3 linked regions of the Macaca fascicularis genome follow. The protein of the gene in region 1 binds, or shares a complex with, the protein of each later gene. Links are inferred from orthologs where the notes say so. Each region holds a gene or a part of one and is shown on either strand. Other genes may lie near its edges.

Region 1 (3,648 bases):
ATGCTGTTGTAATTTTCTTCATGAAGCTGATTTTCCAGGTCTTGCTTATTTTAGTTTATGATTGTTCCTCCCCACAGGTGTCAGCTCCAGCAGGTAGGATTTTTGTGTGTTTTGCTCACTGCTGTGTCTTCAGCACCCAGATCAGTGCCTGGCATACAGTAGGTGCCCAACAAATGGTGAGGCGAATGAAGGAATGAGCCCGACATGCTCTAGAAAGGGAAAGGCCACCAGATTACTGAAACAGAGTGATCAAAGGGAAGAGGTGGCAGGGGCTAATTGCGTAGGGCTTTGCAGGCTGTTGAGGAGTTCAGTTTTACTAGGTACTGTGGGAGGCATTGGAGGATCCAGAGCAGGGGAGAGACATGACCTCATCTATGTTTTAAGATGGGCTCTTGGGCTGGTCAGGTCAGGGGGATGTTTGCAAATTTGCAAATGGACTCTGCTTCACCTACTCTGCAGGAAAACTGACCTAGGAATTGCTTTATCTTACAAAAGGAGACCCTGCAGGTGCTGGCCCAGCCCCAACCCGTGCCCCCTGCCCTGTGCTCTCTCCCCTCCAGGCCCCTGAGTGCCAGAGGTGGTGGTGTTGCTTATCTTCTGGAACCCCATGCAGCCAGATCCCAAGCCTAGCAGGGCTGGGGCCTGCAGCCGATTCCTGCCCCTGCGGTCACAGTGCCCTGAGGGGTCAGGGGACGCGGTGATGTATGCCTCCACTGAGTGCAAGGCGGAGGTGACGCCCTCCCAGCATGGCAACCGCACCTTCAGCTATACCCTGGAGGATCATACCAAACAGGCGTTCGGCATCATGAACGAGTTGCGGCTCAGCCAGCAGCTGTGTGACGTCACACTGCAGGTCAAGTACCAGGACGCGCCTGCCGCCCAGTTCATGGCCCACAAGGTGGTGCTAGCCTCATCCAGCCCCGTCTTCAAGGCCATGTTCACCAATGGACTGCGGGAGCAGGGCATGGAGGTGGTGTCCATTGAGGGTATCCACCCCAAGGTCATGGAACGCCTCATCGAATTCGCCTACACGGCCTCCATCTCCATGGGCGAGAAGTGTGTCCTTCACGTCATGAACGGCGCTGTCATGTACCAGATCGACAGCGTTGTCCGTGCCTGCAGTGACTTCCTAGTGCAGCAGCTGGACCCCAGCAATGCCATCGGCATCGCCAACTTCGCCGAGCAGATTGGCTGTGTGGAGTTGCACCAGCGTGCCCGGGAGTATATCTACATGCATTTCGGGGAGGTGAGCGGGGAGGTGGGGCTGGGGGCAGTGTCAGGAGAAGGACCAGGGATGGATGAGTGCTCATCACTGTCTCCCCTTGAGATGTGAAGGCAGGAACCTGGAGGAAAAGGAGGTTCTGGGCTGGGCACGGTGGTGTAGTCCCCACAGTTTGGGGGGCCTAGGTGGGGGGATTGCTTGAAGCCAAAAGTTCAAGACCAACCCGGGCAACATAATGAGACCCTGTCTCTAAACAAACAAACAAATAAACAAAAAACAACTGGGGGCCGGGCGCGGTGGCTCAAGCCTGTAATCCCAGCACTTTGGGAGGCCGAGGCGGGTGGATCACCTGAGAATGGGAGTTTGAGACCAGACTGACCAACATGGAGAAACCCCGTCTCTACTACAAATACAAAAAAATTAGCCGGGTATGGTGGTGCATGCCTGTAATGTCAGCTAGTCGGGAGGCTGAGGCAGGAGAATCACTTGAACCCAGGAGGCGGAGGTTGCTGTGAGCCAAGATCGCACCATTGCACTCCAGCCTGGGCAACGAGAGCGAAACTCAGTCTAAAAAAAAACAAAAAAAAAAAACTGAGGCCAGCCGTGGTGGCTCACGCCTGTAATCCCAGCATTTTGGGAGGCTGAGGTGGGTGGATCAGCTGAGGTAAGGAGTTCAAGACCAGCCTGGCCAACATAGCGAAAACCCATCTCTACTAAAAATATAAAAATTCGCCAGGCCTGGTGGTGCGCGCCTGTAGTCCCAGCTGCTCAGGAGGCTGAGGCAGGAGAATCACTTGAACCCGAGAGGCGGAGGTTGCAGTGAGCCGAGATCAAGCCACTGCACTCACTCCAGCCTGCGCGACAGAGCGAGACTCAGTTTCAAAAAAAAAAAAAAAAATTAAAAAACAACTGGGGTTCTGAGTTCCTTGTCTACGCGTGTGGGGACACTGGTGAACAGCTGGGGAAGGTGAGGTCTTCATGTGTCTCTGGGCTCCCTAGTTTCTCTGGGGTCAAAGGTGGGGACAGAGTGCAGTGAAAAGCAGCCAAATCCTGGGGCAGCCCAGCCTTTCGGACAGTCAGCAAATGTTTATTGAACACCCATTACAGGTTGCAAGCTGTAAGCCTGAACCTTAGTCATGTTTTCTTTGGTCCACGCAATGTCCTTACCATTTTTGGTTTCATTTTCGTTTCTCTGAAGGAAATTATCTATAGAAATTGATAAGAGAGGGCAGGGCCCAGTGGCTCATGCCTGTAATCCCAGCACTTTGGAAGGCTGAGGCGGGTGGATCACCTGAGGTCAGGAGTTTGAGACCAGCCTGACCCAATGTGGTGAAATCCCATCTCTATTAAAAATACAAAAAAAAAACTAGCCAGATGTGGTGGCATATGTGGTGGCATAGTCCCTGCTACTTGAGAGGCTGAGACAGGAGAATCGCTTGAACCGGGGAGGTGGAGGTTGCAGTGAGCCGAGATCGCACCATTGCACTCCAGCCTGGGTGACAGAGCGAGACTCTGTCTCAAAAAAAAAAAAAGCCCTGGCTCAGTGGCTCATGCCTATAATCCCAGCACTTTGGTGACGCCCCGCCTCTACTAAAAAACAAAAAATTAGCCGGGCGTAGTGGTGGGCGCCTGTAGTCCCAGCTACTCCAGCTACTCGGGAGACTGAGGCAGGAGAATGGTGTAAACCTGGGAGGCGGAGCTTGCGGTGAGCAGAGATTGCGCCACTGCACTCCAGCCTGGGCGACAGAGCGAGACTCCATCTCAAAAAAAAAAGATTTTAAGACCAGCCCTGGGTGCAGTGGCTCATGCCTATAATTCCAGCACTTTGGAAGGTGAGGGGAGTGGACCACTTGAGGTCAGGAGTTCTAGACCAGCCTGGCCAATATGGTGAAACCCAGTCTCTACCATAAAAATATGAAAATTGGCTGTGCATGGTGGCACACACCTGTATCCCCAGCAACTCAGGAAGCTGAGGTGGGAAGATCGTTTGAGCCCAGGAGTTTAAGGCTGCAGTGAGCTATGATCGTGCACTCCAGCCTAGGTGACAGAGCCTGTCTCAAAAGCAAAAACAGTCCAGGTCCGGTGGCTCACACCTGTAATCCCAGCACTTAGGGAGGCTGAGATGGATGAATCACCTAAACTCAAGAGTTCAAGACCAGCCTGGCCAACGTGAAGAAACCCCATCTCTACTAAATACAAAAATTCCAGCCTGGCCAACATAGTGAAACCCCGTCTCTACTAAAAGTAAATACAAAAAAAATTAGCCACTGTGGAGGCACACCCCCGTAATCTCAGCTACTTGGGAGGCTGAGGCAGGAGAATCACTTGAACCCTGGAGGCGGAGGTTGCAGTGAACCAAGATCTCACCACTGCACTCCAGCTTGGGCAACAGGGTAAGACCCCATATCAAAATAAATAAAAAATTA
Region 2 (4,410 bases), on another chromosome or scaffold:
GGACAGAGGAAATTCCCAGAAAAAAAAAATGTACTTGTTGTGTTCCTTTTTTTCACGCAGCTTTGTTAAACATGATTTATCCTCAATAGAAACAAATCTTAAGAAAAATGATGCATTTGGCTTTCAACTTTTCCTGGTAATCCTAAAGACAGAGTCGGTTTTCCCCCAACGTTGCTTATAACAACCCAGGGCAAGAAAGAAAGATTTCAAAATGGCCCAAGTTATTTTTAATGCGGAAAAGACTGATGTGAGTTATGCATTTATCCTCCTACATGCTGCTTCCACAACCTCTCAAGAGATTTTTCACATATCTAAAAAGTCAAGTTGGTCTTTGCTTAACATTCATTCAGGAGATGAGAGGCCTGTCCTATTTTTCTTTTGTTTGACTTAAACATAATCTCATCGGTCTATTTCAATATCAGCTTCATCCCTCATCCAGGAAAGTACTTTATCTCTCCAAGACACCCTTGAAAAGAGTAATGGATGTTCCTTCCACCTAATGGGGATACTGAATCTAAGGCTCTCCTTACTGCCCTGTTTATCAACACATCCTCTGCACAGAAGGTGAAAAACTACATCCTACTACCACTTCACACCTGGAGAGTTTTTTTGACAAAAGATCAAGAAAATGTTTGACTCAGTTCAAATCTTTATGGATGACAACAATCTAATATGAATCATAAACGAAATCAATTCTAAATTTTCTTGTTCTTTTTCTGTTTTCAAATATGCAAATCGATATCTGATTACAAAGGCAGAAAAGCAGTTATTTTTATCAAACGTAATTGAAAAATACACAATGCAGTACATATGTTTTATGCATTTTTGTATATGGAATGTTATATTACACAGCAAAGAAAGAAAAATTTAATAGAGGGTTGTAGACAATTTGGGAAATTAGAAAAACCAAAGTTCATTTTTATCATATATCCTTCGGTCAAACAAGCATTCCTATAGATAACTCTTGAACAGCAGCTATTAAATAAATCGTAAAGTACAATTTACTTCTTCCCTAGTTGGAACCAGAAGAATATAATCCCAATCAAGATTGGGGAAAAGTTCAAGACAACTTTAAAGGGGGAAAAAAAGGCACAATTAATACATTGTCTATAACTTAAAACTTTACAATAGATCTTTGGAATTAACCTAAGACTTTACATTTAACAGCATAAACGAATTTACCGTACATCAAGTACACGTTTCCTTGAATTCCAATTTTTTTCCTAAAATTCATTTACAAAAGAAATTAGAAATATAAATATCTACTTTTAAAGTTTCTACAAGGATGAGCTGAAACTTCTTTTCCCTTTTATAACAATTTACAGAAATTAGCATGTGTTTTGAAACGCAAGCGTTCCACTCTCTGCCCCTGCAAAAGAGGGTGGACATGTTAAGAAACTGAGGCAAATTCTCAACTGAAAAGGAAAAATATATAAAGTACTCAGGGAAGAAATAACAGCTGAAAGCAAAAAATTATTAACAAACTAAAAGCAATAGAAATTCTAATCTACACTCGCAACTCTTACCCTTGACAGCACAGAAGAGAATCTCCTGTCTTACACATTTTGGAATTGCAATTCTGAAACGCTAAATCCAAAGACAAAGCCGCTCTGGGGAAAATAACAATTGCGCAACAGATCAACAGCTCCAACTTGTCCCTTGGCCCTGGCGCGGCGAGGTTTGCACGCTATAAAGCAGGAAAGGGCCAACCGAGGGCTGCTGTGACGGCCAACAGACCGCTGTCACAGAGGCCAAAGCCACGCGCGCGGTGCGCGCCACCAGGGGGCACAGCGTCCGAACTAGACGCCCCGGGTGCCGCCGACTCCGGCCTCAGAGTCCGCTGCCCTCGCCCGCACTTTCCCGCGGCGTTGCGAGAGGCCAACTCCGGGTGCCCGGGCCCGAACCCCTCCCCGGCCGAGAAAGTGCGCGGGGCCCGGCTCAGCCGCCACACGTCGGGGCTTCTGGGCCCGCTGGGCACTTCAGGCGCTCCTCCCTCGTCCCGGGGTTGAGCTTTCAAGAAAGCTCAAGGCTGCCAGAGAGTGATCCGACAGATGGATGACTTCGCAAAGCAGCGCCCACAGACGGCCCAGCGGGGTGAGCGCGCCGCAGCCCGCACACACGGAGGTCTTGGGGCGCGGCGAAGGGGCTCTGGGTCCCAGCCCGAAGGCGACCTCAGTTCCCCCGAGAGTGGCCCCGTGACTAGGCACATTTTTGCCGGCTCTGAGGCGGGGGAGCCGCGCAGCCCCGGAAGGGCCGGGCCGCGCCGGCTCAGACGGCCAGCGTCCGCCCCCTCTTGCCCCGCTGCCCGCCGGGCCGCTCAAACTTAGGGGCTCCGAAGCCCAGCTCTGGGGACCGGGGACGCGGCTGGATTCGCCCACCACTGCCCACGCCCGCGGGCTCAGTCCCCAGACCTTCCCGCAACTTCCCACCCGTTCGCCCTCGGGCTCGTGGTCGGTCGGACCACCCGGCCGCGTCCCCGCTGCCCCTCCCCACCCTGCCCCAGCGCAAGCGCGGCGGCTCCAGCCAGCGCTGCGGTCCTGGCTCTGACCGGACGTGGAGGAAGCCGGCTGCGGCTATCCCTCCCGGGCCGCGGTTCCCTAGCTCCCCCGCCCCCGTCCCGGCACCACCGCAGGGCCCAGAGGGCCGAGGCAGCACCTGCTGGGACGGGAGTCCCGGCGGCGGCAGCTCCAACTCCATCATGCTGAGCTGGGGACCGTGTGTTGGGGCTCCCCGACGGCGGCCCCGTTCCGGCTGCCAAGGCGCGGCGCGGACAGGGCGGCTCTGGTGGCGGCAGCGGCGTCGGTGGCTCCTCCGGGCTCCCCGGCACTCGCTGATCGGCGACACGCCGGCGGGCCCCTGCCCCGCTCCGCCTCCCGCCCCAGAAGGGCGGGGCAAGAGCCTGGGCCCTTCCTTCCCCCGCCGGCCGCGCGGGCTGAGCTTCCGAAAATCCCCCACCCGCGCCTGGGCTGACGCAAGAAGCTCGCGGTCCGGGGGCGGGAAGGGACTGCCAGCTGGGGTCCCAGCAGGCGGGGGATCGAGAGGAGGCCACAGTTAGCGCCCCGGTGCCGGCGTTCAGTTGCCCTCCCCCGCAAATAAGGGCAGCGCTCTAGCCCGCGAGATAAAGAGTTATTTGCGAAGGTCGCTGGAGTTCGGACGCTTTGAAACAGTTTAAACAGTTGGAACAAACACACCCGGAGCCCCGGAAAGGCGTTGGTGTAGGAGCTGCGCCTCCCTGATTTGGAGTTACAGAACCTTGCCCTGCTTTTATCTCACTTTACCGCCCGAGAGTGGCGCCAGCCGGGGTGGGGGGCTAAAGGTTTGGACCCAGGCCGTGCCACTGCCAACTGCCCTCCCGCCCTTGCTCCCCTCCCGGGCTGGGGGCAGTGGGCCCTGCCCAGGGGAGATGTGGACAGCGCCGGGAGCTCGTGTTCGCAGTCACCCTGAACGCTCTCCTCTGAACTCCCACGTGTCTCCGTCAAGGGCAAACGGAGAAGTCCCTTTAGGTCGGAGAGTGGTCAGTATTGCCTACCCAGAGCTGGGAGAAAAACGGGAACCGCAAGAGAACTTCTTCCCACTAAAGCACAGCCACCACGCCACAGATGGCGCCCTTCAACAGTGTGTAATACCACAACATGCTATGATCTTTTAATCTTTACAAATTTCTTTTTCACGTACTCACAAAATAGTACAAATTTTAAAAAGTTACAAAAACGTTTGTATAGTATTGGCTCATTTTATAAAAACATGTGCCCAGAAAAAAATTGAAGGATAGTTACCAATATATTAAATGCTGTGGAATCAATGATTTTTATCTTTTTCCTTGCTACTTCCAAGTATGCTTTAAATCTGCAATGCGTATGTGTTATGTCTTACATTAAAAACAATTATTTAAACATTAATTATTGCCCAGAGAAAACTTCAAGTATTTGAAACCAGGAATATTGTGAACCTTATACGGGTTCAAAGAGGATAGATAAATGGTTTGGTTTTGTTTTTTTCTTTCCTCTTACGCATTTACAGTCTTTCTAACTCTTTAACAAGACTGGTTTTCAGTTTCTACCTTCCTGGAATTATTCAGAACCAGGTGAAGTAGATAATACTGGCAGTGGTTTTACTATTTCATTCAAAAACCACACACACACACACCCCTGACTATAGCGATCAACGCCCAAAAAACTGCAGAGCTTACTTTCTCTCTGTTGCATAATTTGACACTCCCAGGATTTATGTGTAAATTTGTATATTCAGATATTCCTTGAGATAAGTGAAGCCTACATTAATTACTTGTAATTGAAGCAAGCTTCTTCAATTCCTATTAATTCCTTTCAGCTGTTATGTGAAAACCCTGCAACATTATCTGCACAATGAAAACAAGTTAGGAGAAATTGTTTGCAAAGGACCTCACATGAA
Region 3 (2,437 bases), on another chromosome or scaffold:
ATGTGTATCAGTTTTCCTTTTTTTATTCAAAATTATTTTATTAGCTTTTGAAAATAAAATGTTATAAATCATAGCTTTATCACAAAAAGAATTAGTTATATGGCTTGGTTAAATTTGACTTAAACACAAGCAGTTCTTAAATAGAGAAATGCTCTGGCAAAGATTTAGTATCATCAACACAATGTTGAAATATCAACTGTGTCAATAATGTAAAAAGATTAACAGATAACATAGTTTTCTAGATCACTTAGAAAACATCATGCTATTTCAGAAAAGTGCAGATAACTGAATTTCATGATCATCATACTTCTAAGCAGGCTTTCAAAGCAAACAGCAAGGGTTTGATGTTGTTTTAGGTTTTTCCTAGTGATCCTGATCTTTTCCAATAATGGACATCAAGAGGTATGCTCAAAAATGTGTATCACAAGTACCTTCTTTCAGACTAGCTTACTCAGTATAAATGAAATATTGATGTATTTGAAAATGCCCAAGTGTTCAATAAAGATTTTAAATAAAGCTACCTAAAAGTTGTGGTTCTTAGGTTAATCATTTATTTATCTAAAGGATGAAGAAAACTGTCTACTTCTGTGATATGCACTGCAATCAGCTTAAAAATAATTGACAAATTAATCCCTTCACAGCACAGCAATTGTAAAGGTGTTAGTTTTAATTAGGCCTGTCTGATTGCCTTGTCTAATCAAGAATCAAGGTGGTATCTTTGATGGTTAAGGTCTATTGGGGCCATCTCTGACCTGCCAGCCATGTATGTTTTAATTATTGATTCCTCACATTTCAGCCCTTTTCACAAAGGCACTTGAAGTTTGCAGTACCTTAACATTTAAAGGGAAGAAAAATAAACATCTTCCCCAACACTTCTGTCTGGAATCCTGTGTATCCTCTCCGGCTTTCCACAATTTTTGTCCTAAGAAGGCTGTTGGGTTGATGATGAAGTCAAGTGCACATTAGCTATCTTACTGCTTCTTCACCTCCCAAGCACTGGATTTTCAATGGACATGGTTAAGATCTTGACAAATCACAGTCATCTATGCTTCTAGAAAACACTTTTGATTTCTTGATATTATGTCTTTTTAAAATCCCTAAGGGCAGGTGTGTTACTGGGAGATCAGAAAGGTCAGATGAAAGGGGACACATATCTTCTCACAAAACCCTTCCTCACATCGCTAGGAGGAGCAAAGCCAGGGCTCCTTGTGCCACCGTGAGTCAGCCGCAGCACATCAGTGAGCATGGGCAGCGGCATGGTGTTGGTGGTCTCTGTGCGTGATGATGGCTCTTCTTTGTTTGCAGGTCAACGAAGTGACGGTGGAACAGCTGGTGCAGCAGTACCCCCACATCACCTTTAGCACCGTCCTGCAGGACTGCAAGAGGACCTTGGAGAGAGCCTATCAGATGGGCTGGACCCCCAACATGTCTGCCGCCTCCTCCTAACGCTCCTGCCCCGCCTAGTCCACTGGCATCATTCAGCAGAGCAAAGGAGAATTGTACATTTGGGGGGCTGATCTCTCGGAAGGGTTTTAACTGTCGCCTGTCTGTATGTGTTCAAGTATGTGTATTTGTGTCTTGTTTGCATACTGTATACCAGAAGTGCAGTTGTCATTTGTTCCCAAGTGAGCTGGCTTTTTTTCTTAGAAATTAAAGATTATGAAAGCCACAAACTTTTTAGTTTTTAACTTCAAAGGCTTCTTTCTCTTTAAAAAAAAAAAAAAAAGTTTTTTTAATATAGAGTCAAAAAATTAGATGTATTATTTTGAGCTTCTAATTGCTGCCACTTGGAGATGTCCAAATAAGAAGGCCTTCTTTTTACATGGGATGAATTGTGCACTTCTGCTGATGACGACTACAATAGAAGTGATGTTACACGTACAGGCACTTACATTCTCACATAGTCACACATGTGTGCACATCTACACCGGGGCTCTCATCTACTCCAGATCATTTCCTGACAGAGAAGCCTTCTTCCAGGCCACCGAGGTAGCATGTTATCCACTGTGGCACTGCCTAACTCCATGCATCCTCAGGTGGCCAACTTGCTATCTGGTAGGTGACTTGGGGACTAGAAAGAATAAAGCCTTTTCTAAATTTGTTATATGGAGGCAACAATCTGAACTCCCCTGGCCAGCTCACAAAAATTAATTATACATTATTCTACAAATGCATTCTGTTGAGCACTAAATATTTTAGTTGGTTTTACGTTAACATTGTGTTAGCTTTTATTTCCTGGATAGTAACTGGTCAGGATATATTTTAATGATATTTGAAACTAATCTTAGCATTGAAGCCACCAATGTAATTAATGGTGTGCAATTATTTTAAGAAGTACAGATCATTTCATTATTTTCTTAATTTTGGTAATTATTAAAGTGTATTTCTGAGATACGAGAGGATAGTCACATTAATAGATTCATGAGTGAGATATAAG

Evidence for each region.
Region 2: the proteins of KEAP1 (region 1) and NFE2L2 are in contact, whole or in part, in a crystal structure (PDB 3WN7), measured with the Mus musculus proteins. The link is inferred for Macaca fascicularis from reciprocal best matches to the Homo sapiens genes KEAP1 and NFE2L2. Residues at the interface, in NP_001103775.1 of Mus musculus: Tyr334, Ser363, Gly364, Arg380, Asn382, Pro384, Asp385, Gly386, Asn387, Asn414, Arg415, Ser431, Gly433, Cys434, His436, Ile461, Phe478, Gly480, Arg483, Ser508, Gly509, Tyr525, Gln530, Ser555, Ala556, Tyr572, Phe577, Ser602, Gly603; in NP_035032.1 of Mus musculus: Leu19, Ile22, Leu23, Arg25, Gln26, Asp27, Ile28, Asp29, Leu30, Gly31, Val32, Val36, Phe37, Phe39.
Region 3: the proteins of KEAP1 (region 1) and FBXL17 are in contact, whole or in part, in a crystal structure (PDB 6W66), measured with the Homo sapiens proteins. The link is inferred for Macaca fascicularis from reciprocal best matches to the Homo sapiens genes KEAP1 and FBXL17. Residues at the interface, in NP_036421.2 of Homo sapiens: His59, Thr60, Ala63, Ile66, Met67, Glu69, Leu70, Gln75, Leu76, Gln82, Lys84, Ala90, His96, Val98, Ala101, Ser102, Ser103, Ser104, Pro105, Val106, Lys108, Ala109, Met110, Thr112, Asn113, Gly114, Val122, Ser124, Glu126, Gln163; in NP_001156787.2 of Homo sapiens: Asp395, Arg397, Arg421, Lys423, Asn447, Gln473, Tyr475, Met524, Arg548, Asn572, Cys574, Leu575, Trp577, Glu596, Tyr598, Val600, Ser601, Asp623, Trp626, Lys628, Tyr647, Met651, Arg652, Val676, Leu677, Asp679, Cys680, Thr683, Leu684, Arg686.

The regions. Positions count from the first base shown.
Region 1 is NC_088393.1:11,055,269-11,058,916, reverse strand, and holds part of KEAP1 (kelch-like ECH-associated protein 1), read left to right. Parts: intron 1-560; 5' UTR 561-607; coding exon 608-1,246; intron 1,247-3,648. UniProt on the Homo sapiens protein: Substrate-specific adapter of a BCR (BTB-CUL3-RBX1) E3 ubiquitin ligase complex that regulates the response to oxidative stress by targeting NFE2L2/NRF2 for ubiquitination.
Region 2 is NC_088386.1:72,799,831-72,804,240, forward strand, and holds the start of NFE2L2 (nuclear factor erythroid 2-related factor 2), read right to left. Parts: upstream 2,869-4,410; 5' UTR 2,701-2,868; coding exon 2,656-2,700; exon of another isoform or gene 1,527-2,655; intron 1-1,526.
Region 3 is NC_088380.1:114,341,975-114,344,411, reverse strand, and holds part of FBXL17 (F-box/LRR-repeat protein 17), read left to right. Parts: intron 1-1,305; coding exon 1,306-1,446; 3' UTR 1,447-2,437. UniProt on the Homo sapiens protein: Substrate-recognition component of the SCF(FBXL17) E3 ubiquitin ligase complex, a key component of a quality control pathway required to ensure functional dimerization of BTB domain-containing proteins (dimerization quality control, DQC).